Linked DNA regions of Notamacropus eugenii. The protein of the gene in region 2 purifies or fractionates together with the protein of the main gene of each other region. This does not show direct contact. Links are inferred from orthologs where the notes say so. Each region holds a gene or a part of one and is shown on either strand. Other genes may lie near its edges.

Region 1 (7,634 bases), on a different chromosome or scaffold from region 2:
ATGTGTAGTGACTTGTTCAAGGTCATATAGCTAATAAGTATCTGGAGCAGGATTTGAACCAGCGCTTTCCTTTCTCCAAGTAGAGAACCCCATCCAGCGCTTAGCACAGCACCTTGAACACAGTAACACTTATTAAGTGTTTTTTGACAATGATGCCACAATCACTATGCCTCTTGAATTCACTAGCTAGGGTGTCTCATCATCTATGGCCCTTATAAATTACTGCATCTGGGAAACTGGAGTTGGATTCTTTCTTTTTACAGATGAGGAAACAGGTCCAGGTAGGAAAATATTCAATGTCACAACACTAGATAGTAACAGAATGACAGACACCAAGAGAAACATATGTGTCATGGAAATGGCTGCAGGCTGGAGTCAGGACAACTGAGCTCAGGTTTGGGTTCTGGTCTTATTATTAGTTGGTTGACAGGGTGGCTAATTCCTTTCCTGTCTACCTCATAAAGGCTCTGTGAGGATGAAATGAAATATTACATTTAGAGATGGAGAGGACTGTAGAAACCAGTCAGGCACTCCTCATTTTACAACTGAGGTCCAGTTTCTTAGACCTTGTCTAAGGTCACATAGGCGATGTGCCAGAGACAATTCTGGAATGCAGGTCCCCACCTCCCAGCCCACCAAGCTATACGTGTTCAATTCTGAGTATCATGGATTCTGAGAAGATGGGAAGGCTCCAGAGGTCATCCACCAGGATGGGGAAGGGCCTCAGACTCATGCTGTAAGGGGATTAGTTGAAGGAACTGGGGATGCTCACCCTGGAGAAGATTCAAGGGAGATATGAGGGCCAGAGTTCAAATCTGGCCTCAGACACTTAATAGCTGTGTGACCCTGGGAAAGTCACTTCACCCTGTTTGCCTCAGTTTCCTCATCTGTAAAATGAGCTGGAGAAGGAAATGACAAACCACTCTAGTATCTTTACCAAGAAAACCCCAGCTGGGGTCATAAGTCAGAAACAACTAAGCAACAACACAAATCAGGATTTGATTGTTTTTGTTGATTGTCTAGACTTAATAAAAAGATGGATAAAATGTTAATAATGCAAATTAAACTTAAAAGTGTATCTCAGGTTTGTTAGGCTTTTTTTCTTCTTCTGGAGAGCCAGTTGTTAAACATTTTAACAGCACATCTCTGCTTCCCCCTCACTGGGAGTCTTCAAGCAAAGACAGAGAACCACCTCATGTTCCAATGTCATAGAAGAGATTCTTCTTCAGGCACAGCTTGGTCTAATGGCCTGGGAAGCCTCTTGCAGCTCCCAGAGTCTGTGGTCCTGGGAAGTGAGAGGCTCTGTTTGTTCTAAAGAATTTGGATAATTGCTGAAGATACAGCTACCCTGCCCACTGGTGGGTCCCATGACTGTGTAGAAATAGATGGATCCTTCCCCAAGGGGCCCAGAATGTTACTACCCACTTGAAGACCAGGAAATGCAGACCCTAGAGGTAAAGGGAAAGAAGAAGTGCTGACCTCATCATTTAGCCTGGGGACTTCTCTTTGCTTTCCGCCTGGTTCTAAGCCCATTTTGGAGCTTTGTTGTTGCTTTGTTAAGTATTCTATACAATGAAATTGTTTCTGGTCAAGAGCAGAATATGGGAGACATCTGAAACAGTGGAAAGAATTGTGACTCTGAAATCAAAGGACCTGAGTTTGAATCTCACTTCTGTTACTATCAATGTAAGCTTGATAAGTCATGTGATTCCTCTCCTTGTATTTCCTGTAAAATTGAGGGGAAGGGAGTCATACTCCATCAACTGATCAACAAGCATTAATAAATCACTTCTATGTACCAGGTACTGTGCCCAGTGTTGAGGGCACAGCAAAAGCATTTCCTGCCCTCAAAGAGCTTACATCTCCAACAACATACAAACTGCAAATGCTAGACATCACAGTACAAAAAAAATCTCTGTCCAAGATCTAGGCAGTGTAAATGACAGGCTTCAGATCTAAGATTCGGTGACTTTGGGTAAGCTACTACTACCTCCCTGGGTCTATGAGGGGGGCCAGCCTTGATGGCCTCCAAAGTCTCTTCTGGCTGAAGATCTAGGAGCCTGGAAACAGTCAGAGAATGTGACAGTGGCTAAACAGCTTTGTCAAGGACTCATTTCAATCAGTTCAGGTGACTACCCTGTTCCAGAAAGCACGTTCCCTCATTTTGGAATGCCCCTAAATACTCAACTAAATAAACCACCCCAATTTATCTTGTTACTGAAGAAAGTCTTCTTGTGTCTGATGGTAATTTTCAAAAGCAAACCCCTCATTTAGGATATTCTCTCCACTCTTCCATCTCCATGGAAAAGAAACACATGTGAGTGAAATTTCTCTGTAAAGCATTTGCTGGACTGGCCATGTTCCTGACCAGTTGGACCCCATTCAACAGCCCTGGCTTGCTTTTATTTTCTTTCTTTCTTTTCTTTCTTTCTTTCTTTCTTTCGCAACATTCATTTTTGTAAGATTTTGAGTTCCACATTTTTTCTCCCTTCTTTCCTTCCCTTCCCCCTCCCCAATATGGCAAGAAATCTGATGTAGGTTATACGTGTACAATTATATTAAACACATTTCCACATTGTGAAAGAAGAACCAGAACATAAGGGAAAAAACATGAGAAAGAAAAAAAAGAGAAAATAATCTGCTTCAATCTGCATTCAGACTCCACAGTCCTTTCTCTGACTGTGGACAGCATTTTCCATCATGAGCCTTTGGAATTGTCTTGGATCATTATACTGCTGAGAAGATCTAAGTCTATTACAGTTGACCAGAGCACAATGTTGTAACAACCCAATTTTTGACAAACCCATCAAGGCCTTTTCTATCTATTTGGTATCACCAGAGTTTGTACCACTCCACCTCCTTGACAGCAGGTACTATATTTTTGTCTTTCTTTGCTGTTGCCACTGAAATTTCCAGTGTTTGTTGCAGTCTCTGAAACGTAGCAGGCTTAACATGTATTAAGATAAACGTCTTTTTTGAAAATTATGAAAATAATCAATGAACACTAACAATAGTGTAGTCTATGAAAATGAACTTCAGTTACATGTAATTTGTTGGGGTGTTTTGGTTTTTTTAAGTATGTTATCAAATGTAGCTAGGTGGTGCAGTGGATAGAACACTGGGTCTGGAGTCTGGAACATCCGCGTCCAAATCCAGCTTCAGACACTTACCGACCATGCGATCCTCCCCAAGTTACTTAACTCCTCTTTGCCTCCGTTTCGCATCTGTAAAATGCAGATACATTGGAGAAGGAAATGGCAAACCGCTCCAGAATCTTTGACAAGACGCAGGTAACCATCAAACGTAACAAAGTAGCAACAAAATTGCCAGTTTTGTTTCTCCTTTCTCACTTTCCTCTACACTTCGTTAGTGTTTTATCAGTGCTCTATCACCACCCAATAACTCACCTGCCACCAAAAAGAAGCTCCCTCCCCCTTATAACAAGTAAGGAAAACAAATCAACCCCTTGTCCCCAGTTGGCCGTACACAGGCGGTGTCCATCCCATGTCCATCACCGCCAGCCCTCTAAGTCCGAATCAATGCCATCCCAGTTCTGAAGTCTTTCAAAGGCTTTTCCCCCTCTTTTCACTATCATTGTGTAAGTTGTTCACCTGGTTCTGTTCGTTTCTCCGGGTCTCAGTTCACAAGAGTCTTCTCGAACTCCTCCTCTGCCACAGTCCTTATTTCTTTTAACAGTAACCTCCATCACATCACTATGCCACCAGTTGTTCAGTCGTCCCCTATCTTTTTTCTACAGTTGTTGCAATAGTTTTGTAGATTTCAGTCCCTTCCTTCTGGTCTTTGGTCCCCTTGGTCTAGGTCTGGTCTTGGTTCTGAACTGATGGGTCAATGGGTCCGTACAACGGTTCAGTGACTTGGGGGGAGGGGGAAAACAGGATTCCAAACTGCTAGCCTGACCCCAGCTCCACCAACAATGTATTAGCGAGCCTCCCCAACAATCGCCATTTTGTCTTGCCACCTTTGCCAGTCTGACTGCCTCAAGATGGAAGCTCGGGGTGGTTTTCGTGGGCATCTCTTTACTATTAGCGATCAGGGGCATCATCTTCCCCTGGGGGTGGGCCAGCTCCTTCTGACCACGCCCGGAGCAGCTGCGCTCTCCACGTGGCCCCTCCTCCCAGGCTGGGGGCAGCCCCCTCCCAGAGGACGACCCAGAACAGAGCCAAAGCCCCCATCCCTGCTTTAAGGAATTGAAGGCACTAGAGGGAGCCCCGGTGCTGGGGTTTTGTCCGTCCAATTTTAAATAAAGTTGTTGACAGTCTGCCGTTGCCAGGACCGAAAGCGGCGAGGCGCATCTCGGGAATGGTAGTCTCCTCGCCCAGCCCACGAGCCAGTCCGATTCGGGTCGATGATCTCGCGGGAATGGGAAGGGAGGAAAGCCGGTTTGTGGCGCGCACGGCTCTATGGGTAGTGTAGTCAGAAAGCGGTGCGGCTCCTAGGGCGAGCCGAAGGGACGGAACTACACTTCCCGGCTCCCCCGACAAGTTGGAGGAAAAAACGCCCGGCGGAGAGAGCCTGAGCAAATCAGATCGCAGGAAAGAAACTGCCGGCTTTCAAAAATTCTCCCTCGCCGCCATCATCGATCGGCGGCCCCGAGGCGCAGGGGCTGTTTGCGGAGACCGGGGCGAGACGCGTGTGAGTGTGCGTTTGTGCGGGGGAGGCTTGGTGCGCGCGCCCGAGGAGCGGGAGGGAGGGAGCGAGCGAGGAGGGTGGGCGGCCGTCGGTCACCGGCCTATCGTGACGCCGCGTTACGCCACCGCCTCCGCCGCCGTCGCCCGCACGCCCCTCGGCTCCCGCGTTTGATCCCCTCCCCCTTCCCCCCAGCGCGCGGACCCCCCCTTCTCCTCTCCCCCTCCCTCTTCCCGGAGAAGCCTTGCGCGTGCGCAGGAGGGCGTCCAGCGCGAGGTCCGAGGCCGCCGCTGCACGAGGCGCCCGTAGCTCTCCCGCCCGCGCGCACGTAAGTCCGGCGACTCCCGCGGGGCCCCTGCGGGCAGAAAGCGGAGGGAGGAGGGCTGCAGATGGGGAAACTGAGGCCCGGAGGGGGAGCGGCGTAGCGATTCGGAGCATCACGTGGCTCAGCTCCGCTTTTTACAGCGGGGGAAGCTGAGGCCCAGCGCGCAGTCGGGGGGCCGGCCGTTCGGGGGCCGGAGCCTCGGAGGGGGTGGGGAGAGCTCTAGGCTCAAGGAAGAGACCGAGACCAGGGAGGACCCCGCCCCGCTGACCCTCGTCCCAGGTGGTCACATGGTGTAGAGATCAGTGGAGGAGGGGGGACCCAGACCACAGCCCCCACCTTGTACCGGAGAACCCCGGGGCCCGCTTAGGAGGCCTGGCCGAGGTCCTGATATGGGAGGAGACCCCGAGGGGCCCGTCCGAGCCGGACCTGGCCTCCCCGCAGGGCCCCGCACCGCCCCGGCCCACCCACACGCAAGCCCCTGTGGACAGGCCCCCCAGCACCTCGGACAGTGCCTGGGGCCGGCTCTGCTCAGGCCTCCAAGGAGCTGCCTTCCGAGGGTTCCTGCCGCCCACAGCAGGGGAGAAAGGGGCGCCCTGCGGGGGACGTCTCCTCACCTTGCCCTGAGCCCTGGTACTCTGGGAAGGAAGGCGCCTGTGGATGGTTCTCTGAGGGTGAGCCCTCAAGGTGTGCCACAGGGCTTTAGGTAGAAACCCATCCCTTAGGACTGGGCAGAACTTGGAGCTGGAAGGGGGGCCACAGTAAATGTCCCACAACCAGAAATCAGGCCCTGACAGGAACCTGCTGGTCACTGTTCCATAGCTGGGTCTTGGGATTTGAACCCACATCCAATTTTCTCTCTAAAATCTAGCTTTCTTTCCCCACAGACATGTGAATGTTACTGATTACTTCTGTAATCTGAAGCTTTCTGCTTCAGAATCCAATGTTGCCCTAATTTCCACCCAGGTACTCAAACCTCTCCTGCGCCACCTGACCTTCCCTCACCTCAGGATAGAGGTGTCATTTAAAACCCCCATCGGGTTTCTATTTTGTGTCCCCTAGAGAGGGTGGTACCCCAAGACAACAGTTATCTTTCACCAGTCTGTGCCCCCCCCCCATCAAGGCTTTCTACAGGCTTATGCCCTCAACTTGGGGGTTCTTTCTGGGCTGCCCTGCCCTTGGAGGGGGTGGGGTGGTCTTTGTCCCGCAGTAGTAGGCCAGCCTATTGTGATGTAGAGTCTGCTGTCTCCTAGGAGCCCCTGCTTCCTGCCTTTAGCTCTTGATGAGGATAACTGGTTCTGAGTTTGAACCTTCAGTCTTTAGGTGACAATCCCTTTCTTCCCACCTACCCCTTCCCACCACCCTAGACAAGCCAGTGCAGGCACTGGGTTTCTCCCTGGATGGATCGCTTTAATCACTCTGCCCATTTGGGGGAGGGCAGTAGGAGATTGACCCAGGACAGCCAGTCACTAGTCCTGTTTACATTATGTTCTCCTGGATCTGCAGCCCTGCTGACAACTCCAAATTAAGGAAATCCCATGGTTCTGTCCGTTTTGTCCCAGCTGGTAGAGTCAGGGGGCAGCAGGAACTGAGGGCCTGGGAGCAAAGGGCAGAGCTTGTCTGCCTTGCCCTTTCATTGGGTCAGGCCAGACAGAACTCCCCTTTGCCCAGGGTTTCAACCTGTGTAAAAACCTGCTGTTTGAGGCACATCTCAGTAGGAGCTGGATGCTCACATCTGGAAGAGGGGCTGCTGAAGCCTTCCCCAGCAGACAGACCACTGGCCTGCACATGGGGGCCAGATCTGGATCCCTCCTCCTTTCTTCATTTCATTACTACCCTGGGGCCTCCATTACATTGCCCACGAAACAAGGGATTTGGACCCAATGGCCCTCAAGGTCCCTTGGAGCCCTGGGACCATTCGAGAGACTTTTCCCTCTAAATGCTCCCTCTGCACCCAGTCACTTGCGACCGCCCCTTTTCAACCTTACATGGCATAAGTCTGTAATGTGTCATGAGAACATATATTCCAGCCACCAAGTTGGTGTCTCACCCCTCTTGCCAGACACATATTTTGCTGGCAGGGACCAGCTCTTGCCTGTACTTTGGGTTTTCCCTCAGGACTGTACTCAATGTAGTAGGTGCTTAATAAATGTTTCTTGCTTCAGGGAGAGGCTGTGTCTTTCATGTTTAACATCCTCCAGCCCCTGCCCTGGGGACAATATGGCCAAAGCCCTGGCTTTGGGATCTTCCAGCCTGGGCTTCAAACCTGACTTTGCTGTTTCTCAGCTGGGACCTGAGGCAAGCAAACACCCTTATTCTTCCTGTTGATCCCTGGCTTTAGTGAGGCCCTGGAGATCTCACCAAGGCATTATGGGGATTGTGAAATAGCAAACAAGTGGAATGGCTTTGATGATGAGGGATGGTGCCTTTCTCAGCAGCCTGGGGAGGAAGCTTAACAAAGCAGCTGAGACCATGGCATCTGAGGATATTGCCAAGCTCGCCGAAAGCCTGGCCAGAACCCAGGTGGGCGGAGGACAGCTCAGCTTCAAAGGCAAAAGCCTCAAACTCAATACGGCAGAAGATGGTGAGACCCTACCCCTCCCCAACCTTCAACATTGTACCCCCTCAGCCTTCATGGGGTTCCAGGAGGAGCTGGGAGCTAGAT
Region 2 (7,098 bases):
GGGCCACTGAGCAATGGGAACCTTGAGCTGGATTGATTACTGAGGGAGTACAAAAGGTTCTAGAGCAGGAGAACGTGGTTTTCAAAATTTAATCTGGAGTCACAAGGATGGTTCAAGGCAAGGTGGAAAAAGCTGTCTCCTTCAGTCTAGTCCTCACCAGGCACTTCCTCTAGGCTACTGTGGGAGGGTCCCCTCAGGTTTATTTCCACCTGCCGGACACCTTAACATTCCCTCTATTTCCATTTTCTCCTCAGCCCTGGTGGACCTCACAGAGCATGATTTTGGGGGGGGAGAATGAGTCTCCTGCTGTCTTGCCCACTCACAGGCCTCAGGCCTCCTGGGCTACCCTTCCAGGGTCTGCCACACTGGGGTGCGCCATATCAGAATCTCTACAGGGGCATACCTCTGTGAATGGGGCCCTGCTGCCTCACACAGAATTTTTCAAGTTCCCTTCCCTAGTAACTTCTCATCTGCCCCCTAAGTGCGGCTTTTCTCCAAAGGGCTGATCCCATGGATTCCCAAGGCTTCAGTTTTATTTTTATGTAGATGATTCCCAAAACCTGACTTCCACCCCAAGCACTTCTCCCAATTCCACATTTTTAAAAATGAAATCTTCATGTTCCCCTAAGATTCTGCCTCTCTAGCTTTAAGAAGCCAGGCACACAAGCACTCTCTGTTGGCAGACCCATGAATTAGCTCAACCACTCTGGAAAGCATTTGAAATTATGCTAAAAAAGTGCTATTCTTTGCACTTCAAAGAGGTCAGAGACAGAAAGGCTCTATATTTCAAATATTCATAGCAGCCCCTGTGAGCGCTGGAGGCAAGAGAGGATCCATGGAGGGCCAGCCAAACAAACTACAGGGAGGAAGGGAAAAGAATATGACAGCACTGTAAGAAACAATGAATATAAAGGTGGAGAAAGTCTGACCAGTGCACCAGGAATCATATACACAATGACAAGCACCCACAACCCTGCACCCTGTGTAATCACAAGGACCTTCTGAAGAGGTGAGAAAGCATGCCCCACTGAACAAGTGGGGGGGGGGGGCGGTCACAGGGGCTAGACTCTGCCAGACAGAAGTGGCAGACCTGGCTGGGAAGAACTGCTTTTTGTATTCTTTGTTAGGAGGGATGGCTCTATGTGAAGGAGAGGGGGGGAATTACTTGATGAAAAAACAAGTGTCCATAAATATAACAAAAATGGGTCTCTCACACAAGTGTTTGTTTACGGTATGACTTCTCTTAGGTACTTAACATTTTAATTCCTCTTAGAGTTATTCCTGTACATGTTTCATCTGCAGAGGTAGGCATAGATGGAGTTTTAGAGAAGATGACTCAAAGGCCCCAGGTCACTCAGATGCTGTCATTCCAGTCAGTGCCAGCTTGGAGGGAGGAGTGCCCTCGGTTCCCCCCCCGCCCCAGGTTCACACACCCACTCCCCTCCACGGCTTTCTTTCCATTCATTCAGCAGCCAGCTTCGCTTGGCCATCACTGCTAACCTCACCTCCTCACTGGCCTCTAGGTCTCCAGTCTCTCCTCTCTCTCATCATCCTCCCAAGGCCCTGAAACTCAAGGCTAACCAAGATGCCCCTGCCATGCTGGCATAGGCCCCTGTCACTAAGACTTTCAGGATCAAGGCAAACTCCTTTGCCCCGTATTAGACCTGAGACACTTCCTAGCATGTGACCCTGGGTAAGGCCCTTCCTGCTGCCTGCCTTAGTTTCCTCACCTCAAACTGGAGCCAACAGCAGCATGTGCCCACCAGGAAGAGTGGAAGTCAAAGATCAGCTCAGGACATAGCGCTAGCTCAAGCCTGGGGAACCTTCGGCCTGGAGGTCACATGTGGCCCTCTAGGTCCTCCAGTGCGGCTCTCTGACTGAACCCAAACTTCACAGAGCAAATCCCCCCAATAAAAGAACTGTTCAGAAGGCCGCACCCAAGGACGCCGAAGGCCCCAAGTGGCCTCAAGAATGTTAATTATCTAGGTGGCTGTTCACAACTGGCCCAGCTTACAGCAGGCTTCTCCCTCCCTGCTGCCCCGTGGTCCTGCGCTGGCTGCCACACCTGCCCACCCCTGGAAGGCCCAACTCGCCGGCCCCCTCCCTCAGCCCCTCCACCGCAGTGACTCCCCGGAGCCCGCCCTGATGCCACCAGCCAAGCCCCGTGCGGGCACAGATGCCCATGCCTGAGCAGACCCTCTGGAGGACCCCCTGCGCCCCGAGTTCCAACGGCACCCAGCCCGCGTGCCCGCCCCCTCCCGTCCCTGGGCGGGCAGGGAGGGGCCCTTTGTCACTCGGGCTGGCCCCTGGAGGTGGGCAGGTCTCACGCAGCCCCGGCCAGGCGCGCCCACAAACGCTAAGGGACCCCTCGCAACAACTTCCCTTCGGGGGCCACAGGAAGGGCGTGTCCGGGGCCCCTGAGGGGGCCGGACCACAGAAAACACGGCCTCGACCCCAGGCGTGGCCGCCCTCCCGGTGGCGCCGGCTTCTGGGAGTTTGGCACGTGGGGGAAACTGAGTCACCGAGGTCTGACTACGCGGCTGGCAGGGCCACGGCCTGGGGGGACCCGCAGACGCCCCCCTCCTGGTATAAACGAAGGGGTCCCGCGCCAGGGCCGCCCCTCCCCCAGCCCGGACCCACCCGGGAGGAGGCACTCAGCGGGGGGGAGGGGGGAAGGAGGGGGCCTCGAGACCTACGGTTACTGCGGCCCGGCCCCGAGCCCGCCGCGCGCGCCCCCGCCCCGCCGGGCGCGCCCCCGCCGCCTCAGGGGCGCCATTCGCGGCTCGAGGCGCGCCCCCGCCGCCCGCACCCAGCGCTCCACCGACCCGGCGGGCCCAGGGCCTCGGCCTCGTCCCCGTCTCCCCCAGGCCTGGCCCCTTCCCACGGCCCGCGGCCGCCGCCTGCGGCCCGGGCCCTGGCACTCACCGATGTACGATTTGCCGTCGTCCGCCATGACGAGCCGGGGAACGCCGGACACCGGCTCTGACAAACGACGAAGCCCCTCGGCGCTCCGCACAGCGCCTGCGCCTCAGAGCGAGCCACCGCACCCCCTTCCCCTCCCCCCCGACGCGCCTGCGCACGCCCCCGCCCCAGCCGGCCTCCACGCGCCGCGAGGCTGGCGCTGAGCCGCGAGGCGGAGCCGGACGCAACAATGGAGCTGGGGCACGCCACGCCTGCGCACACGGCCGCGCGGCCAGCGAACGAGATGCCTCTGCGCCTGCGCGTCCCGCTGGGACAGGCTGGGCTGGCGCGGCCTCCGGCCCCTCCTCCCAGGCCCCTCCTCCCAGGCCCCGCCCCCCAGGCCCCGCCCCGCCCCCGACTTCCCCGGCGCCTAGTCCCAAGCTCGCGGGTTAGGGCTGCGGGGCCCCCGAGGCAGCGGAGGCCTCTCGATCCCTTCCCCGTCAGTCCCCATGCACCTAGTAAGCGCCTACTGCGTGCCCAGTAGCCGCCCAGCGGCGGGATTACAAAGGCAGGAGTGACATTGGGCCAGCAGTCAGGGAACTTGGCCGGAGGCAGCGGGGCGCTCTGGGCCCCGGGTCCGGAAGCCCGGGGGTGACTCCGGGCACGTGCCATCCCCGCGGCGTGCCCCAGTCAGCGATGATCACGTGGGCACCTGCGGGCGTTCCTGTATGTTGTGACCGGGGCCACGCAGGACGGGGGACACGCGGGGGTCCCCGAGTCCGGAAGCGGGTGTGCCAGGTTGTCACCGTGAGGCAGGCGCTGGGGGGTGCAGCTGGGCAGACCTGGCGATCCAGGGGGCGGGGCTGGGGGCCAGCCCTGCCCCAGGACGCGCCTCCCGCGGCTCCGCAGCCCCCGCTGTACAGCCTCCGCTTGGGGTCTCCTCCAGGGTAGGAACGGTCTTTTTAGCTTAGCACATAGTAGGCATTTAATGTTTATTGACTTTAATGGGGCAGCCAGGAGGTGCAGTGGATAGAGCCCCGGTGCAGGAGTCGGGAGGACCGGAGTTCAAACCTCACCTCGGACGCTGGACGCTCGCTAGCTGTGTGACCTTGGCCAAGTCACTTAACCCCAACTGCCTCCTCCTGGGTCATCTCCGGTCATCCTGAGGAATATCTGGTCCCTGGATTCCCATGGCTCTGGAGGAGAAGTGAGGCTGGTGACTGGCACAGCCCTCCGTCACTCAGAACAAAGTCAAGTGCAAGTCATGTCACCATTTCTCTGATGGCATGGTCTTCTTTGGCAACAAAGGACGAACACACATTGAATTTAATGGAACTGGAAGGTCAATAGTGCACTCACCAGGATGTTTTTGTGCGGGGGGGGGGGGGGGGGAATTAGAGCTTATAAGTCATTTTGGACATTTGGAAATATTTAATAGGCAGCTGGCGATGTGCTATTGGAGCTCCTAAGAGAAACCCAGTCCTCGGATCTAGTAGACCTGCCTTAAGCTGACTGTGCAAAGAAATGTAGATCTCAGAGGTTGACAAGGTTACTTTTTGTACCCAGAGGAGGGCCCAAATGGAGCCTTGGGGGTCAGATATTGATAATGGTCCAGCCAAGGACACTTGACAAGGAGGGGTCAGGCAGGCAGACCAAAAGTCACCAACCTAGAGAGGAGGCGGATCCAGGAAAAGGGGCTAAAGTGGCAGTAAAGATGGGATAAGGATGGAGAAAAAGGTCTCTGGCAATTAGTTTTGTTTTTGTTTTTTGAGAAAGCATTTTCTGGGGATGAGGTTGGAAGCCTGATGGGAAAAGGGACAGGAGAGGAAAAGGGATGGAGCATGTGTGTAGGTGGCAAGGAGAGGGATGAGGGGGATGATCTGCTGGCCTTGGTGAGAAGGTCCACCTCTCCAAAAAGGGAATGAGGAAGGATGTCAAAGGGTCTGGTGACTTTGAGAAGGGGAGTGCTCAGGGTCATTTGTGATGTGGACCTGGTGTGGGAGGGCTCTGGTGGAGAGGGGACTGAGGGCCAATGAAAGGACAGCAGCTTCTCTGAAGAGATTCTGTCTTTTGGGTTGCTCCCCACCCACCCAGTAGCACCAGGAAAGGATGCTAGCAAGCAGAGGTTGGGTTTTCTGGGGAGGAGCAGGGCCCGAGAGCTGAGCAGCTTAAAGATGGGCTTTTGATTGGGAGCCAGAGGACAGGTAGCCCCGAAATTGCTGAAGTGGGGGAGAGATGGAATAGCACAGGGAGAACAACACAGAGGGGGTAGTCTGGCACAGGAAGAAAGCAAACCAACATTGTGCCCACTGTGTGCTGTACCAAGGACTTTAGGAACAGCCTATTATCCCCCATTTTAAGACCAAGGAAATCGAGGCAGACAGGTGGTCACATGTCTAGTAAGTATCTGAGGCCAGATTTGAACTGGGGTCTTCATGATTCTAGGCCTTTCCCTCTATCCCTGCCGACAAATTATAATCAGATAAAGGAATTTCAGAGTTCCTGATTAGGGAAGTGGGTCACTTGTTGGGGGTGGGGGTGGGGGGTGGCCAGATCGAAGTGGAGTAGTAGACTGAGGAACTGGGTGGCCAGGGTATTTGTGGGAACATCACCTAATCCAAGAGCAGGGGTTGGGAAGGAGGGGGAGAGGAGGGTCAGACCCTCAAAGTCTCCACAAAGGAGGGAGAATGGATGGAGCGGGGATGTGCACAGACAGCAACAAGAACTTGGCCCGAGTGACGGATTTGGATTCATTCAGCAGAACTCAGCTGAGAACTGGCTGAGGGGAAAGTGGCCAAGTAGAAATGGAATTGATCAGTGCTACAAAGATGGGAAGGGAAATGTATGTTTCAGCAAGATCTGGGGAAGAGCTGGAGAGGAAGAGATCTACATAAAATAAAGGGAGGAGAAATGAAGGAGCAGATTCCAGAGGGCACCACAGATGGGGCTGGGGAGGGGCCTGGGGCCAGCACATAATACATGTATGTTGATCGATCGATCAGTTAGAGATGAGAGAACAGGAAGGGTGGGTAGGGTTGGTTGGCCTGAGACAGCGGCCTACCCAGTATCACTGGACCTAGTAGGGTGAGTGGTAGTTGGGGTGGCTGGGAAGCCAAGAACCTCACCAGGTGATTGGACTTAGGGTCAAATGAGGAAATGTGCTGTGCAAACTTAAGCACTATAGAAATGTGTTTTTATTGACTTGCTAAGGTCACAGAGGTAGCACCCCGCCCCCACCCTGATCACAGTTCCTCCACCAGCCATCCTCCCCACAAAGGAGTCCCAGCCTTCCCAGGCTTTTCCCAGAGCTGGTTCTCTCTGCTAAGGCCCAAAGCCTTGGCTAGACCTGGATACTCTACAGGGCTCCTCCTTCAGAGCACAGGAACCTGTGTTAACAACGGTCTCACTAGGATCAAAGTCGTTGCCTCTCAGCAGGTGACCAGAGATCCAAAGCCTGTCTGGGCAGGGAGCATTTCCAATGAACTTCCTAATAAATCTGATTGTTTAGACAGACCAGACCAGGAGGCTCAGCAGGTTCTTGCTAACCCAGGATCTAGGTGGCAGACAGCAGACTGGCCACAGGGCATCTTCCAGGAGCAGAGGTTCCCTGAAGGCCAACCTGTTTCTTCTAGGCTGGTGTGCTTCATCCACAGCAGCAATCTGAGAAATGACTCCTACAGCTCCCAGACTGCGCAGCTGCCAAGGCTGCCAAGATGGATAATCCCTGGCAGTGGGCAGACTATGGATGGAAGATTCAGTCTCAAGACAGGGGTGGCCTTGGGAAGAGTATTCTTGGAATGCTGGTTGGGGCTGAGACTGCTGCTACAGGCCCACTGTCTGCCTTCCTGGCCTATGCTGCCCCCTCTTTGCAGGCTCCCTCACTGCCTGAGATGATGCCTGAGGGGACAGTGTGATCCCTAGAAGCCTCCCTGGACCTTGAGGGGAGGATCATGAGCCCCTGGCACCCTCTGCCTCCCACCCAAAAGCACAGGCAGCAGACAAGGAAGCCAAGATGACCGATTCCAAGTCTACTTGTAGCTATGAGCTCAGATTCTCCCATTTTCTCCCCTGGCTACTGCTGGAGCAGGGCCATAGCAGGATACACCAAGGGGCAAGGCGAGTCCTCAGTCTGTCAGAGGCAGCACCCCCAGTTTCCTGGGGTCACTATTGCCATGGGAGGCCAGGCCAACCCCTAAG
Region 3 (7,639 bases), on a different chromosome or scaffold from region 2:
GAGTACCTTACAAAGCACTCTAAGTTTGGTATTGGGGAGGGGGAAATCAGATTTCCCCAGTAAGGAACATAGAGGAGGGAAGATGATACAGAGTACACTGGATCTGAAATTAAGAGAATCTGGAATTCCATTCTTGGCTCTGCTGCAGGACCTGGATGGTCCTTTAGGTTTTGAAGTTCTGACTCTAAATTTATGATTCTACAACTAATTCACTCTCCTCCCTATTTTTTTAAAAATCAAGATCAAGCAAAATGGGACTTTTTAAATCCCAAAAGAACACAGTTTTTATCTAGTTAAACATAATAAAATTCAACATACTGGAAATACCTCGATCTTTTTAAAGAACCAGATCGAGATCGGATCGAAGCAGACCTAGATCTACGAAGAGATGCAGATCTTGACCTTCGAGGAGATGCAGACCTTGACCTGCAAAAAGAAATTTTTTTTAAGTCAACCACTGCAAGAAACGAACACTGTCTGTAACGAAAATTTTTTTTGAAAAATATAAACAAGAGCCTACCTCCTGCCACGGCTCCTGCTGCGTGAGCGAGAATATCGCCTTCCTCTGGACCTTGAGTGAGATCGAGATCGTGACCTATTTTCAAGTTAGAGAAAACAAGTGTTAGATTTTAAAATTCCATCTTTTCTTTACTAATGTTTGTGTACCTCTGCTGAAATCAAATTTCAGACAACTATTTAAAACAGTGTCTGTCAGTTGGAAATAAACTCAGGGCCTATTAACTGTCGAGTATTTTTTTTTTTTTACTACCTAGAAAAGATTTGTTAAAAGCTGAATTACATTTCAGAATTACATAATATAAAACACTATAATGTGTATTTAAAATAAACCTTGCAAGTTTGCAGGTCGACCCTCTTTGGCCCAAGGTCTAGCAGATCTAGACGATCTAGAAGTATCTATAGCCGATCGCTGCATCTAGAAGTTTTCTTCAATCTAACGACGATCAAACTGACAGCCAAATGAGCCAGGTGAGGCTTGATTGACGCAAGAAGATTTTTCTAGGTGGGAATGTGGTCAATCTGGTGTTCCTCTTTCTAAACCGGAGGGGGGCCCCAATTGAAAGCCAAATTTACTGTTACGGCGATCACCGTCTCAAATTTTCTGCCCTTTAAAGAATAAAGTGAAGCTAGGTGTAGATGGCTCGAGGGGATCTGGCCTCTTATGCTGATCACCTCAAGGTCTAGGAGGATCTTAATTGTCGGATTTGCAAGGCGCCTCAGCATGATATCTTAAGGCTCGTGACATTCTGAATCAAGGCGACTGACTCAAACGAAGAAACCTGAAAGGTTTTGACCAGGTTGATTATTAATATATTAACATTTTTAAAATTAAACACAAACTGTAAAATACACCTGACAATTAACACATAAAAAGTTTATAGAAAAAAATAGTATTTTCTTCTTTGCTAACAAAAGAATTACATGATTAACCGTTACCAACCGCTCCTTTTTTCCAAATAAATACCTGCTTCTCCTCCGTCGGCTGTAACGATGACAATCATAAGCATAATGACCTTTCTCCCCACACTCATAACATCTATCATTAGGATCAAATGGGCGACGTGCAGGTGGTCTATCATATCTAGATCTTCGAGGCATTCCTGTTGACAATTCGACTCTCACCCGAGAGCCACAAATCACCCTGGAAAAATTGGATCAACGCATGTAACGTCAAAAATGTACAGGTACATCCTAACGTGTTTGTTGTCCAGACTAATTATATGGGAACTCTGAGACATCAAATTCTATACATACTTTCCATCCAGTCCTCGAACTGCATCTTCTGCGTCTCTTGGATCTTCAAATTCCACAAAAGCAAATCCTGGAGGATTTCTGGCAATCCATACGGTTCTTAAGGGACCATAGTAACTAAAAGCTCTTTCTAACTCTCCTTTGCCGGCACCGGTACCCAGGTTACCAACATACACTTTGGTCTCTGCCAGAAGAAACAGAAAAGACTGCACGTTAGCAGGACCTCAATCCAACTTAAAATTGAGCCACATCATAACGGGCAAGGCTGCCGTAAGCAGGGTTCTAGACGACAGAACAGGTTTTGCATTTTTTTTAAGTTGTCTCTAAGACGTTTAAACTTTTTTTAGCCTTACTACCTCAAACGCGCCGACGTTTTCTTTTGTCCTTTCCGGCAACACAATTAAGCGTGGCGCTCGCTTGCCGGGAAGCCCCAGGGCCGAGCTCGGGCACAAAGGTAGGGAGGAGCCCCGAGCTCCGCCCCCCCTCGGCCCGGGGAGCGGAACGGGAGCCGGAGCGGCTCCGGGGCGGCAGGGCCCGGCCCCAGCTCTGCGCCGCGGCAGGGCGAGGCCCCAAGCAGGCCTGGGGCAGAGGCGGCCTCGGGCCGGCGCGCGGGGCACTTCCCCAACTCCCACGCCGCCGCCGCAGCGGCAGCGGCACCGCGCGCTCCCCTCCCCCACCGGCCCTAACCCGGTCTGGGGGGCGCGGGCCGGCCGGCCGGGCACTGTAAGGGGGAGGGGGAGGCGAAGGCCCCGGGACCTGCGCCACGAAGAGGGGCAGCGTGCGCAAAATGGCAGCCACCTTCTCCCGCCGCCAGCGGCGCGAAAGGGGGGTAGCGGCTACGTACAGGCCGGGAAGGTCTGCCGCAGCACGGCGGAACGCAGGAGCCGCTCCGGCGGGGTCTTCCCACACAGACAGGCCCGCGCTCCGAGGTTTTCCCTCGACGCCTCCCCTCCCCCCACCCCCCCACTATGGCTCCGTATGGCGCCAAGACGAGGTCCGCCATTACGCACGAGGAACAACCGTCTCCCAACAGCCGCCAGCCTGAGCCCGCCTCGGGTCGCGCTGCCCAGCCCGTGACCCGTCCCATCCCCTTCCCTCGTTTCTCTCTCCGGCCTCCTACCTCCTCCGTACCGCCCGTAACGCGACATGGTGTCCGGCCTGGGGGCTCGCAGCGCTTCGCAATGACCCGGCCTAGGTCGAGACACTGTCTACCTCCGCTCGGCGGTTAGAGCAACTCCCGGGTCCGTAGCTCCTGGAGTTGAATTTATATACCAGGGCCCCTCCTCCTCGGCCGTACGCGTGCGTCATGTCGTCATCACGCGCCACACAAAGGCGCGAGGCGGAAACGGTAGAGAAGCGACACGGAAGGAGCTCGAACGCCGTGGGGGCTGGGATCCCAGGCGGCGGGGGGATTTGTTGTCATGGGAACACCGGGCTCCTCCGCGCTCGCTCCGCCTCTAGCCTGCGCTTTCCTCGCCCTTTCCTGCCCAACCCTCTTCCCGCCTTCCTTCACTCTCCTCCCCTTCCTTTCCCTCCCCTCTTCTCTCCTCCCCTCCCTCCCAGGTCCGGGACCCCGGGGCTGGGGTCATGTGTCTAGTGCAGCTGGAGCGCCCCAACACGAGACAGTAAAGCGTAGCCGCCGAGACTTCCGACGCCGGCCTCCAGAGAGGTCATCTCCCAATCGATGAGTCGGCAGCCTGAGCCAGGGTGAGGAGGAGACCTCCCCCCACGCACCCCCGCCCGCGGCGAGAGCAATCACCGCCCCCCCCCCCCCCGCCCCTTCCAGTGTAGAGCCCGGAGGCCAGGACCCGAACCTCCCCTCCCCTCCCCCAGCCTTTGCTGGAGGACCTCCGGGGAGAGGCAGCCGCTTCCCAGCGCTAGATCCGGCGTTTCTGTTTGGGGGACTCGTATTCCTCGCACCTCTCCCTCCCTCTGCCTTGCTGTTTATCCTCTCTAAGCCCCACTTGCACCGCCCCTGTTTCTAACCCCAAAATGGGCTTGTCTGCAGTCGCTCGCCACCCCTTGCCCCCGGGCTTGTTATCTCTCAATCCTAAGAGCATCTTAACCCTCTTGGTGCCCTGGACGGACCCGGTCCCACAATAAGACACACAGAATGACCGAGGACACCTGTTACGTAGAAATAAGGAAGTCATTTTTATTGGTCACCCAAGTTCACAGACCTCCCACGGCTTGAACTGTTGCTCCCGTGGCAGGATGCCCAGACGGGGGGGAGGGGAGTGCGCAGAAGGAAGTCCAGTCCGTGGTCACCTGGCGTTCTCCGGGGCATCCTACGGTGTGTAGTAGGAGGGATCTAACTTTGGGGAAACAGACAGAAGCGCTGCCAACCCCAGGCCCCAGGCCGTGTCCTGATCCTCGGTCCTCCATCCAGGAGGACTGACCGTGTCCACCTAGGAGCGTTGTAACAGCGCACGTTGAAAGTGCACGTGGGTTTCTCCGCGCTAGCCCCGGTTAGCGGACGAGATCCTGACGTCCCCGCATCTGCAGCCCCACCACCCATTCTCCCCAATTAAGAACGCCTCCCCAGCCGCCGGAATTGTCCCACAACTCCTGATCAGGAATGTACGGGGATAGGTTCTGAAGGATTTAGAATACAGGAAAAAAACTAAACTTCTAGCGAGTTACCAAAGGGTGAAAGTCTGATGGTCTGGGTAAACTACGGGAACATAGATGGTGCTCATTTTCATGGAGACTTAAAAGTTTTTCTGCTTACCTGCTTAATGAAGTTTTTGGTAAGGATTAATCTAATATTTGTAGAATGTTTCTCATATTTTCTGGGAAAGAAGAGTTGTAAATACAACAAAACCTTATTAATTTGGACAGTGAGAACTAGGTGGCCAAAGTCCTCCTAGGGATCCAGATTTTACCGGTGCTACTTAACTGCCTATAGGACTTTTGGCAAATTATTTAATTTCTTTGGGCTTCAGTTTCCTGATCTGTAAGATGTGGGGTTTAGACTAGATGACCTCTTGTCCAGCTCTGAATTCCTAGGATTTCACTGAGCTTTGTACTGAGTAGATTTAGGGAAAGGGTAAAAGATAATTCCTAGGCTTCAAACCTGGGTAATTGGAAGGATGGTGGTGGAGTGACAGAAATAGAAGTTAGGAGGATGCATGAGTGAGTTTATGAAAATGATAAATCCTCTGAGACAAAGAGTGAGGAGAGGTCAGGACTTATCCCTGGGGCCCTACTGACCCCTCTGGAGATGCCAAGGGGGAGTGGTCAGACAGGTAAGAATAAAACCAGGAAGGAACAGTGGGGTGACAACTCATTACCAACATACTGATAATGTTTAATATAAAATTTTGGAATAATCTCTTTGTTCTCTCTGAAGTAAACTCAGAGAATGCCTCTTCCTATGTCAGCAAAAGCCAGCCAAGGCTGACTCTACATTCCTTAAGGAGACCTTTAACCTAAGACACTATATCTTGAATAATGGGACTTTCCTTTGTATCTTACTATGTTATGGCATATTAATGGTAAAGAAAATATAGACATCTTAGGTCGTAATTTCTATTGAACATAGTTTACCCTTTCCTATGTCAATTATCTGTTTAGGGGAGTGCTGGGAATGGAATTACTAGTGGTGGAATTTCTTTCCTTATCACCGAGACATATGCTTACCCAGTCTGGAATCTCAAGGCCTGACTGACATTGCTTTGTTAATTGTCCTGTCTTCCTGAAGTTATGATTTGCTTAATTAGGAGAGTTTCTTTCTCATGGCAAAATGTACTTAAGACAGATGATTTCTGTACTAGGTAGTCAGAGTCACCTCTGACTCCATAGCGCTATGTAACTTTTCTTTATGGGGAACTGATCAATTAATTAATTAAATCATAAAATGTATGCATTTAGCCTGTTGCCTTTTCTCTAACCAAGTTTTCAGGTCAACAATACTAACTGTGAAAGTTGGTTTACAAGTCTAGTCTAATAGTTAAATGGAGAATCCAACACACCCCCAATTAAAAAACCAAAGAAAATATGAGCTCACACTGACCACACCTTTCTGTCAGGTGTATGAGTTCAAATCAAAATAGACCTGTGTGTTGAAGATTTTTCTAGCTTGTCTAAAGAAAAAGGCAAATTTCTCCAGACTAGGATTTGAATTGGTGACTTGATTATACTCTGTAAATAAAAATAGGTATTTTATGTTGATCACTATGGTTCCTTTCAGCTCTAAAATTCCATAATTCCAAGTTTTTGCATTAATATTGTCTTTGCCAACAGAGACTATCTTCAATTTTTACTCTTAGGTGTTTTGATTAATAATACATAGGTGAAACCATAAAGCATGCAATATTTCATTTACTGGGAATGAAAGTCATTGAAACTGTATAGTCTTCTAAAAAATATTTGTGTCATCTGATTACTTTGCTCTCCTAATAAAAAGTTTATCATTTTAGAAAGTAACTATTCCAAGCATCAGCAAATACATTTTTATGGTAAATAACTGAGTTACCTCAGATCAGTTAGCTAGATTATGACTACATTTACTCTTTAAGTTAAATATTACAAGGAACAATATACATAGCAACATTTTGTGTACATGTTAAATCTTATCTTGCAGTGTGGAAAGTACAGAAAATGTAGTAACGAAGCTCTGTTCATAACCTTTCAGCCCCGGAGACAAAGTCAAATATGCACAAGGTATACCTCTTGTCTATTAAATTTTTTCCATACTTGAAAAAACTTTTCTCATATCAGATTTGATAATTGATAACTCTTATGTGGTAATTACTGACACTGGGAGGCAATAACTTTCCTTAATTTAGGACAAATCAGAGTACCTTGGCCTGTGCTTTGGCAGATTTCTTAGGGGAGAGTAGGAGGCTAAAAAAGAATTAGCCTCTTCTGCTAAAATGGAATTAGATTTTTGCCTCTAAAACTCCTCCCCCTCTGGCACAAATCCAAAACCCGGAGGATGCTTGTCCTATTATGATTCCCAAAACAATTAAATTCTTTTTAACAAAGGGTTTATTAAGTACCTGCTACATCGGAGGCCCTTAATCAATGCTTACCTGATGATGGTGATACAAAAACAAAAACCAGTTTCTACTCTAAGGAGTTTACATTTCCTGAGTGAGATACTATGTAAACAGCTAAGTAAATACAAGATAATTTGAGGTAGGGCTGTAAGAACTGAGGAAGCAGGACAGACTTCACAGAGGTGAAAGGGAAGCTGATGTACTCCAGGCACAAGGTCAGACTGTATAAAGATAGTTTGCTGCTGTTGCTGACTTAGAGAAAATTGAACTGTGGGCTTTGCACCCATAGCCCTCACCATTTTTTTACATAAATTAAATCAGGCTAAAATGAACATCAGAGTCAGCCACAAATGGAGAAAGGAAGCACCAAAGAGAAGCATGGCCCTAAATGTCTAGCACTTGACTTCAGTGATGATTGAGGTTGGGATTTGTTTCTAGATGGATTTTAAGTATCCACCTCCTCCTCTCCCAGAAACCCTGTCCCAAATCACTGCCACTTGCACTACCCAGTAGGAAAAGAGCTTCTCAGAGTTTGTATAAGGCCACTGCCCTATACTTATTAGTCATATTTGTAATTATCACCCCTGAGATTTGAAAAAGAATCCTTCCACTAACCTTTCATGCACTTTTCATGCAAAGACTTATTGATAGAGCTGGACTTAGATGATCTTCAGTGCCTCATCCAATTCTAAATTTATGATCCTAAAGAATTATAAATCAATCTCTTCCTTCTCCCAACTTACCTATTTTGTTCATAGTGCCACTATTCTTCAACCAGGTTTGACTTTTTCCACTTAAATTTATTCACCTTTTCCTTTAAAATGCTAGCACCTTAACTGAGACCTCACCTCTTACCTAAACCATTA
Region 4 (7,155 bases), on a different chromosome or scaffold from region 2:
TGGGAATTTTCACCAGCACTATCAAAGTGTAAAGCCAAAATACATTAATACTTTCATCACTGAAAAATTTGGAGATTATTTCACTGTAACTTTCTAAAACTCAAACTATAAGCAAAACCTTAAGACTGAATGGGTGGTGCTTAATTTGTATTTGATAAGCCTTAGAGTACTCACTGAAGATAGGTTCATTGTATTAGTTTCAAAGTAAAAAAATTAAGTTATGACATTTCGCTTATGTAAAATGAAAATCCTAAAGTCAATACTAAGTTTAAAAAATGCAATTTACCCTAAGACACAAAAAAGCAGAAATTATTTTTAAGACTTTCTAAAGAGATAGAACAATTTAACTACTTTCAAAACTTACTAGTCTATTAACTAGTTTACAACCAGGACATCAATTCTTAAAACCTAGGTGTTACACAACATATATTTTTAGAACACAGCACCTGTCATAAGCATAGCTACAAAATCTTGAGTCAAAAATAACTACTGACAAAAAAGAAAAATGGAAATCTCTCTCACATATGCTCTCAATGGTGTCAGTTACTCTTTCCTTTCCCAAATGTAATTTTTAAAAATTCTAAGATGAAGGGTAGCATCATTTATATTGAGAAAACAAATTCACTCATACAGAACATGAAATATACACCTCAAAAGTGGTCTTTAATTAGGACTGGATAATTAGGGAAGAAATAGTTTACGTTTTCATTTTACTTGGGTCTACTCAAGTACACCATTTGTCAATGGATGGAAGAAAATTAGTTTATAATAATATTGCTTTTTATGCAACTGAAGTGCTGCATTTTACTAGTTAGGGTGCCCCTCAATCCCCACCCCATTTTCTATCTTCTAGAGTATCCATTTCAAAGTAGTTCACCCCCCATAAGCACAGCATTGTGCCACTCTCAGTACTATACATCCAAAACGACCTACCTATTCTTAAAGTACAGAAATGGGAGCTTTGTGGTCAGTGTCAATCACTTTTGACTTCCAAAACAAAAAAAGTCCAAAAAAATTCAACTTCCTAACCATCAGTGTTTTAAACTTCCTCTCTCCATAAAAGCTTTTAAGTGTTAGTAAAACCCGGAACAAACATCCAATCGCCAGGTAAAATACCTTTTCTTGCTGCCCCCTCCACTCCAAACACCAGTTCATTAGGTTCCATTCTCCACGCGGGATTACCATTTTATCTGGTCTGTACTAGCATGCTAGTATATAGTGAGGGCTCTTCACTTCAACAGGAACAAGCCAACAGCCACCCTGCCATCCCCTAACCGTAGCTCACAGCTAACTTCACCACAGGTCAGAGACAAGTCGCTACAAGGTGTGCGGGCAGTCGCCAGCTTCATTCAGGAGAAACACGCCCTCCCCTGCTCTCCTCCGGCCTCCCACCCAGACTGACTGTGCTGCACTTCTAACTATAGAATGCCGCCAGGGGCCCTCCCCCCGCCCTCACTCGGGGAAGGTATGCAGACCAGGCGAGACCCAAGCTCAGCGCCCCAGCCCCGGGGAACGAGCCAGGGACGTGACGGCGAGCCGACCGTGGCCGAATTCAAACACCCCCGAAAGGGCTCCTGCTCTGCCCCTCTCCCTCCCACCCCCGGAAGAGGGCTGATGAAAGCACTCACACACAACGCCAGCCCTAGCAAACGCGTTTCTAGGGGTCTAACCGCGCACACGGCCATCTCCGCTCAGGACCTCCGCCACGGCCGGACACGGGCACATGCACGCGTGGACACGTCCACACACACACACGCGCGCACACGCCGGAGCAGCCCCGAGCGGGCCTGGCTCCACCGCAGCCCCTCCCTCCTCCCGATCCCAGCTCCCTCTACCAGGGGCCACGTGACGCAGGCGGACGTTTCAATGCTGCTGCTCCTGCTGCTGCACTCAGTATTTCTGGAAACTTCCACTCATAATAATTCACCGAGCCGTTCCCCACATCGCCCCGGCCGACGGGGGCAGCCCCCGGGCCCCGCGCCCCCTCCCCAAGGGCGGCAGCGGCTCGCCTCCCGCGGCCGTGCACCCCACCTCCCTCCCCTCCCACCTCCCCAGCGCTACAAGCCGTTCCATTCAATTGCAGGCACCGCACCACACCGCGGCCCGTACCCCGCTCGGGGGCCTTTCCCCCCGCCGCGCGGCGGACCGCCCCCCCGATCCTCCCACTTCACCCCACCCAGGATCTCTCCTCGATCCAGCTCGGGCTCCCGAACCCTCAGGACTACACCCCCCGACCCCCCAAGATCGCTCATTACGTGTTCCGACTTACCCAGAGATTGAACCAACTGCCTCGTCCTTCCTTGTGGGGGGCTGGGAGGGGATGAGGGAAGGTGGGGAAGGGGGAAGGAGGGGAGACGAAGGTGGGTTTCACAGTTTGCCCACCTTAAAAAAAGAGAAATTAAAAAATGAGAGGGGAGGAAAAAGGCAAAAAAAAAGCTCAATAACGTTTTACTCTTCCAGTGACGCCTCCCCCCCTCACACGCACCTCCCCCCAAAATAACGATAACGAAGCGGATGAATCAACGATCCCGCTGGGGTGGAAAAGGAGGGGCGGGGGAGGGGAGAAGGGAAGTCAGGTCCCAGAGGTTCAGCCCCAAGGGGACCCTCCGGCCAGGCAGGAGCAGCGGGGGGGGGGGGGGGGGGGGGGTCGCCGCTGAAGTCCAGTCAGGGGACGCTCAGTGCTGCCGGGTGCAGTCCGACTTCCCCCCACCACAACGCAGTGCCCTCTCTCACTCGGCTCCGGCGGCTGGGCCCCCCCAACCCGGCTCCCCTAAACTTTCTCCCCTCCTCTTCCTCCTCCGCGACTGGCGGCTCCCTCCTCCCCCTCCGGGTGCTTGCACGGCCGGCAGCAGCAAAGACGGGAGCAGGCGCCGCTGCTGGGGCTGTAGCTATTGCCGTGGAGGTTGCTGTTGCTGCTGCTGCTGCTGCTGCTCTTGCTGCCGCCGCGCCGCTTCTCCCCCTCCTAGTGCCACAAACTCGGAACCGGTTGAAACCGGTTCAGACTGGGAGATTCCATCTCGGTTGAGTTTTCAGCCCATGGCGCCGCGGAGCGTTTGGAACCTGGGCCTCCTCCCCCAGCCCGCCGGCTTATTGGTCGGAGCTAGCCACAGCCGCGCCGTCAGTCACGCAGCCATTGGCTGGCGGACCCATCAATCCCACCTAAAGCCTCCACACGAGCCCGCCGCTCAGGCCCCCGCCTCTTTCCAGCAGCGATTTGCCCGCAGAGTGGGGGAGGGGAGATAGGCCTGGTTGAGAGGGAGCCTGGGTGGGGGGGTAGTAGGCAAGGGAGAGAGGAGTGGAGCGGGGAGGACAAGGGGAAACCGCACGGGGATTGGTCACGGCTGCCTGCCAGTCAAAAGTAGCCTTCCCTCCCCCACCTCCCGCCACCTCCCCTTTCGAGGCCCTCAGGCCCCGATTTTCCTCTCTGCTCATTGGTCCGGCGCCTTTGGTGACGGAGAGGGTGGGGCGCCGCCAGTGTGCTGGTGGAAGCGCGAGTTTGATCTGGTAGCGCGCGGGCAAGTGTTCGCTCCCTCTCTCCACAGCCCCAGGTCAGCCCCGCCCCGCCCCCTCCCCGCCATCTCCCGCCCAACGTCTTGAGCCCGCCTCAGCCCTCTCGGCTGTGGGTCCCGCCCTTTGCCTGCTCCGTGGGTGGGGGCTGTAGACCAGGAGCCGGGAGAACTAATCGTTTGTAAGGGGGAGGCAGGAGGAGAGGCCTTGGGCGGCCTGGTGGGAGCGCTAGGAGCTGCCCTCCGGGGCCGAGCTGGAGCCCTTTGTGTCGGGACCTCCGAATGTAAAGCGGGCCCCGGCCGCGCTCGTCGGGCTGCTGTGCACTTGGCGGGAAGACCGCCACCAGCCCCCGGGACCGGGCCTTCCCTGCTCCGCGGGAGCTGCCCGATCGCTCGGGGTGCCTGGGAGCGGGGCGTGGAGGGGGACACGCCGAGCGCGGCTCTTAGCTCCGGCCGAGCTCCCCCGCTGCCCTCGGCGCCGAGCCTCGGGCGCCCAGCTACCTGCGGGCTGTCTGGGAGGGGCGTGAGGCGCCCGGCCCCCTGCTGCCCGCGGGCCGCCCCACGTTCTGGGACTTCAAAGGAAGCCGCGTCCGCACACGTGGGAGTGCCCGGAGCCGGGCGCTCCTCAGCCGATCTTCAGGCTCTCCTGAAACGGTTGGGTAAATAAGGAGGCGCCCCCACGGAAACTTGTTACTGAGCCCATTCTGCCACCCAGAGGTGGCGAGGGAATGAGTGTTTGTTTACGTCCGTGTGTGTGCGTGCCTGGACTTCTCTGGCGCAAGCCTTGGCTCCCTGGGCACCTGTCTGCTGAACCAGGTGGGGTCCCTCCCCCCCTTTTCCCCAGGTACACCCCCTGATCACACTGGATGACTTCTAGACCTAGATTTGAACTCGTTGTCCAACACGTGCCCGCGATGACAGAGGCACAATATCCTGAACGTTTGAGAGGTGAGGGAAAGGGTTTATTAAAGCATGTACTGACCGTTTAGTATGTGCCAGGCTCTATGAATGTCTGTGATGACAGCAGTTCTGTAGTATAGCTGCCGTTATCGTCCTCTTTTTACTGTTGAGGAAACTGAGGCAGGAACCTGCCAGAGCTGCCTCTAGACAAAATGGATCTGCCAGCCCTGGCCCTGGCCCTGGCCCGCGGACAAACCCCTCCTCCAAGAAAGGCCCTTTATCAGGCTGGGGATGTCGTGGAGGCTTGCCCAAGGAGCTGGGTCCAGCCGGCCTTCTCGCCACCAACATGGGCTGCCTGTAGAACTTCTGAAAAATTACCCCAGTGGTTTCAGATGGCTGTGAATAAGTATTCTTGCTCTTGGTGCTCCCGTATTTGGCTCATCTCTGTACGTTCCTTAACAGAAAGGAGCAGATCTGTGTGACCATAGTGATGAATCATTGCATGCAAGACACTGGGTTCATCTTGTGCCCAGCACCACCTCAAAGCAGAGCCCTGAATGCTGAATGGAAGGTCCTCCGGTGAAGACTTGTCAGTGTAACAGCTCCAGAGGGCCATTAGATAAGCACGTCTGGCTCTAGCCTTAGAGTTTGGAGGAGCCTTGCCAAGGTGAACTGTTATATCCATCTTGAGAGGGAACATAGAGATACAGCAAAAAGGCCTCCCCACGCCAACCAGGTTTGTCCATTATCCTCTTGGTAGATCAGGAGGAGCCGATGGAAGAAGCCATAGATTTGGAATCTGTGATTTCTTACCTGTGTGACCTGGTAATCACTTAAGCTCCCTGGGCCTCAGTGTCTTCATTTGTCAAATGAATGGATTGAACTAGTTAACCTCCGAGGTTCCTTCCAGCTATAGTTATCATCGCAGTGTTTTAAAGATTATACTTGAATATTGAATATTTAGTTTAGGAAACTAGGTGGTGCAGTGAAAAGGATTGTTGTTTGTCCTTTCCCAGAAGAGGACCATGATATCAGGGAGGTTAATGCCATGACATACTAGTGAAATGGATTTAAGTGAGGGAGGGCTGTGCAAAGTCACCAGCCTCACTTTCTCCTCTGGAGCCTTGTGGGTCTAGTGGCCAGATAGAGATCAGAACAATGGGAGATGACCAAGGATGCAGTGGGGGACCTAGACCTTTTCAAGCTAAGGGCTTTAACAGGTCTCAGTTTGACTGGGTCAACACCCATTCAGTGACTAAGCCTTAATAAGAATCGGGGCAGAGAACAGTATAGAGCATTAGACTTGGAGTCAGAACAGACCTGTGTTCAAATCCACCCTCAGAAGCGTACTAGCTGTGTGACCTGGGCAAGTCATTTAACCTCGAGCCACGCTTTTCTCACCTACTTCCCAGGGTTGATTTGAGGGAAAAAATGAGATATTTGTAAAAATACTTCATAAACCTTATGTTATATAAATACTAGCTATTATCATCCTTTCCAAAAGCAGTGATTTCTTTGGTCCTGTAGTTCATTTTACCTCATTTACTTCCTAAAGTAAAACATTTTTCCTGCTACTCTGTTGATCATGTGAGGAAAAAGCTTTGTGGCCCAGTGGATTGAGCACCAGGCCTGGAGTCAGGAGGACCTGAGTTCAAATCCAGTCTCAGACTCTTACTAGCTGTGTGACTCTGGGCAAGTCAGTTAAACTCTGTTTGCCTTAAGCCACTGGAGAAGGAAAGGGCAAATCACTCCAATATTTTTGCCAAGAAAGGACAGTATGGTCCACAGGGTCACAAAGAGTTGGACGTAACTGAACAGCAACAAAAAATTGATCATATGTGTATGTGTATGTAGAGAGACATATGCAATGTATACATCTATGTGAGTATTGTGTATATGTGTATATATATGTGTGTGTATTAATACTTGTAGATAGCATCCTAAAGCCTGTCACCCCAGTTAATGTGAGGAACAAGATGCTCTATGCCTTAGTAGCTTTATCAGGAGAGTGTCAGGATCAGTCAAAGGTATAAACTAGGTAGGAATAAGTTCTTAGATAATTAGTAAAATACTTGAGTCATTGAATGAGAGCAGATGATGCTTCATAGGAAATGTCTTGTGGTTGGTTGAAGTTGGCTAAAATAGCAAACCAGGTCAGAATCTGGCTTTCCTATAACTGATCGGACTAATAGTAGAACAACTACAGCTGAGCATCAGAGAGGGAATCTCTTAGGGGGTAGGTAAGGAGGAATTTCTGCATTTTCTCCCCTCCTCTTGATCAGAGGAAAACTTTGTGACTTTGGAAGGGTTGGAAGATTTGAACATCTGTATTGGTAGCGGCGTTCCTGGAACAGCAGTGGCTGATGGCAGTATGTGCTTCAGGAGTCAAGGAAGAACTAGAGAATACTGAGGAAATGCAACTACAGGACTGTACAAGAGCACCTACCATCAGAGTCCAGCAGAGAAGCACATATCCCAAAGGGAAACTTCTTGAGAACTCTATGAAAGGAGAAAAGGAATTCCAAAAATCAAGAGCTGTGAGTTAACCCTTTCTCTCATGTTCTCTAAACTAGAGCCCACTCTCCCCAGGGATTTGTGTGTGCCAGAGGAGAGTGTGCCTTAGCCTGGGGGTGGGGGGATGGGAGTTATTTGGGTCTAAATCTTCCTTTCTCTATCTGCTTAGTAAATACTCCTTTCTGAAAGCTAATTAAGTCGAACATAATCAAAGAGGAACCCATCAGATGAGGGT

The links.
Region 1: the proteins of NXF1 (region 2) and RANGAP1 purify together in Homo sapiens (co-immunoprecipitation; 3 studies listed by BioGRID and IntAct, with this or other methods). This does not show direct contact. The link is inferred for Notamacropus eugenii from reciprocal best matches to the Homo sapiens genes NXF1 and RANGAP1.
Region 3: the proteins of NXF1 (region 2) and SRSF7 purify together in Homo sapiens (affinity purification with western blotting; 3 studies listed by BioGRID and IntAct, with this or other methods). This does not show direct contact. The link is inferred for Notamacropus eugenii from reciprocal best matches to the Homo sapiens genes NXF1 and SRSF7.
Region 4: the proteins of NXF1 (region 2) and XPO1 purify together in Homo sapiens (affinity purification with mass spectrometry; 3 studies listed by BioGRID and IntAct, with this or other methods). This does not show direct contact. The link is inferred for Notamacropus eugenii from reciprocal best matches to the Homo sapiens genes NXF1 and XPO1.

Annotation. Positions count from the first base shown.
Region 1 is NC_092874.1:300,353,724-300,361,357, reverse strand, and holds the start of RANGAP1 (ran GTPase-activating protein 1), read left to right. Parts: upstream 1-4,540; 5' UTR 4,541-4,653; intron 4,654-4,842; exon of another isoform or gene 4,843-4,975; intron 4,976-5,856; exon of another isoform or gene 5,857-5,935; intron 5,936-7,134; exon of another isoform or gene 7,135-7,267; intron 7,268-7,404; exon of another isoform or gene 7,405-7,407; 5' UTR 7,408-7,441; coding exon 7,442-7,553; intron 7,554-7,634. Other genes in the region: uncharacterized protein, read right to left, coding at 3,171-3,177. UniProt on the Homo sapiens protein: GTPase activator for RAN. Converts cytoplasmic GTP-bound RAN to GDP-bound RAN, which is essential for RAN-mediated nuclear import and export. Mediates dissociation of cargo from nuclear export complexes containing XPO1, RAN and RANBP2 after nuclear export.
Region 2 is NC_092873.1:15,879,457-15,886,554, forward strand, and holds the start of NXF1 (nuclear RNA export factor 1), read right to left. Parts: upstream 3,075-7,098; 5' UTR 2,954-3,074; coding exon 2,926-2,953; intron 1-2,925.
Region 3 is NC_092872.1:672,757,404-672,765,042, reverse strand, and holds the start of SRSF7 (serine/arginine-rich splicing factor 7), read right to left. Parts: upstream 3,004-7,639; 5' UTR 2,919-3,003; coding exon 2,891-2,918; intron 1,955-2,890; coding exon 1,774-1,954; intron 1,661-1,773; coding exon 1,484-1,660; intron 596-1,483; coding exon 521-595; intron 427-520; coding exon 319-426; intron 1-318.
Region 4 is NC_092872.1:643,247,662-643,254,816, reverse strand, and holds the start of XPO1 (exportin-1), read right to left. Parts: upstream 3,024-7,155; 5' UTR 2,270-3,023; intron 1,837-2,269; exon of another isoform or gene 1,629-1,836; intron 1-1,628. UniProt on the Homo sapiens protein: Mediates the nuclear export of cellular proteins (cargos) bearing a leucine-rich nuclear export signal (NES) and of RNAs.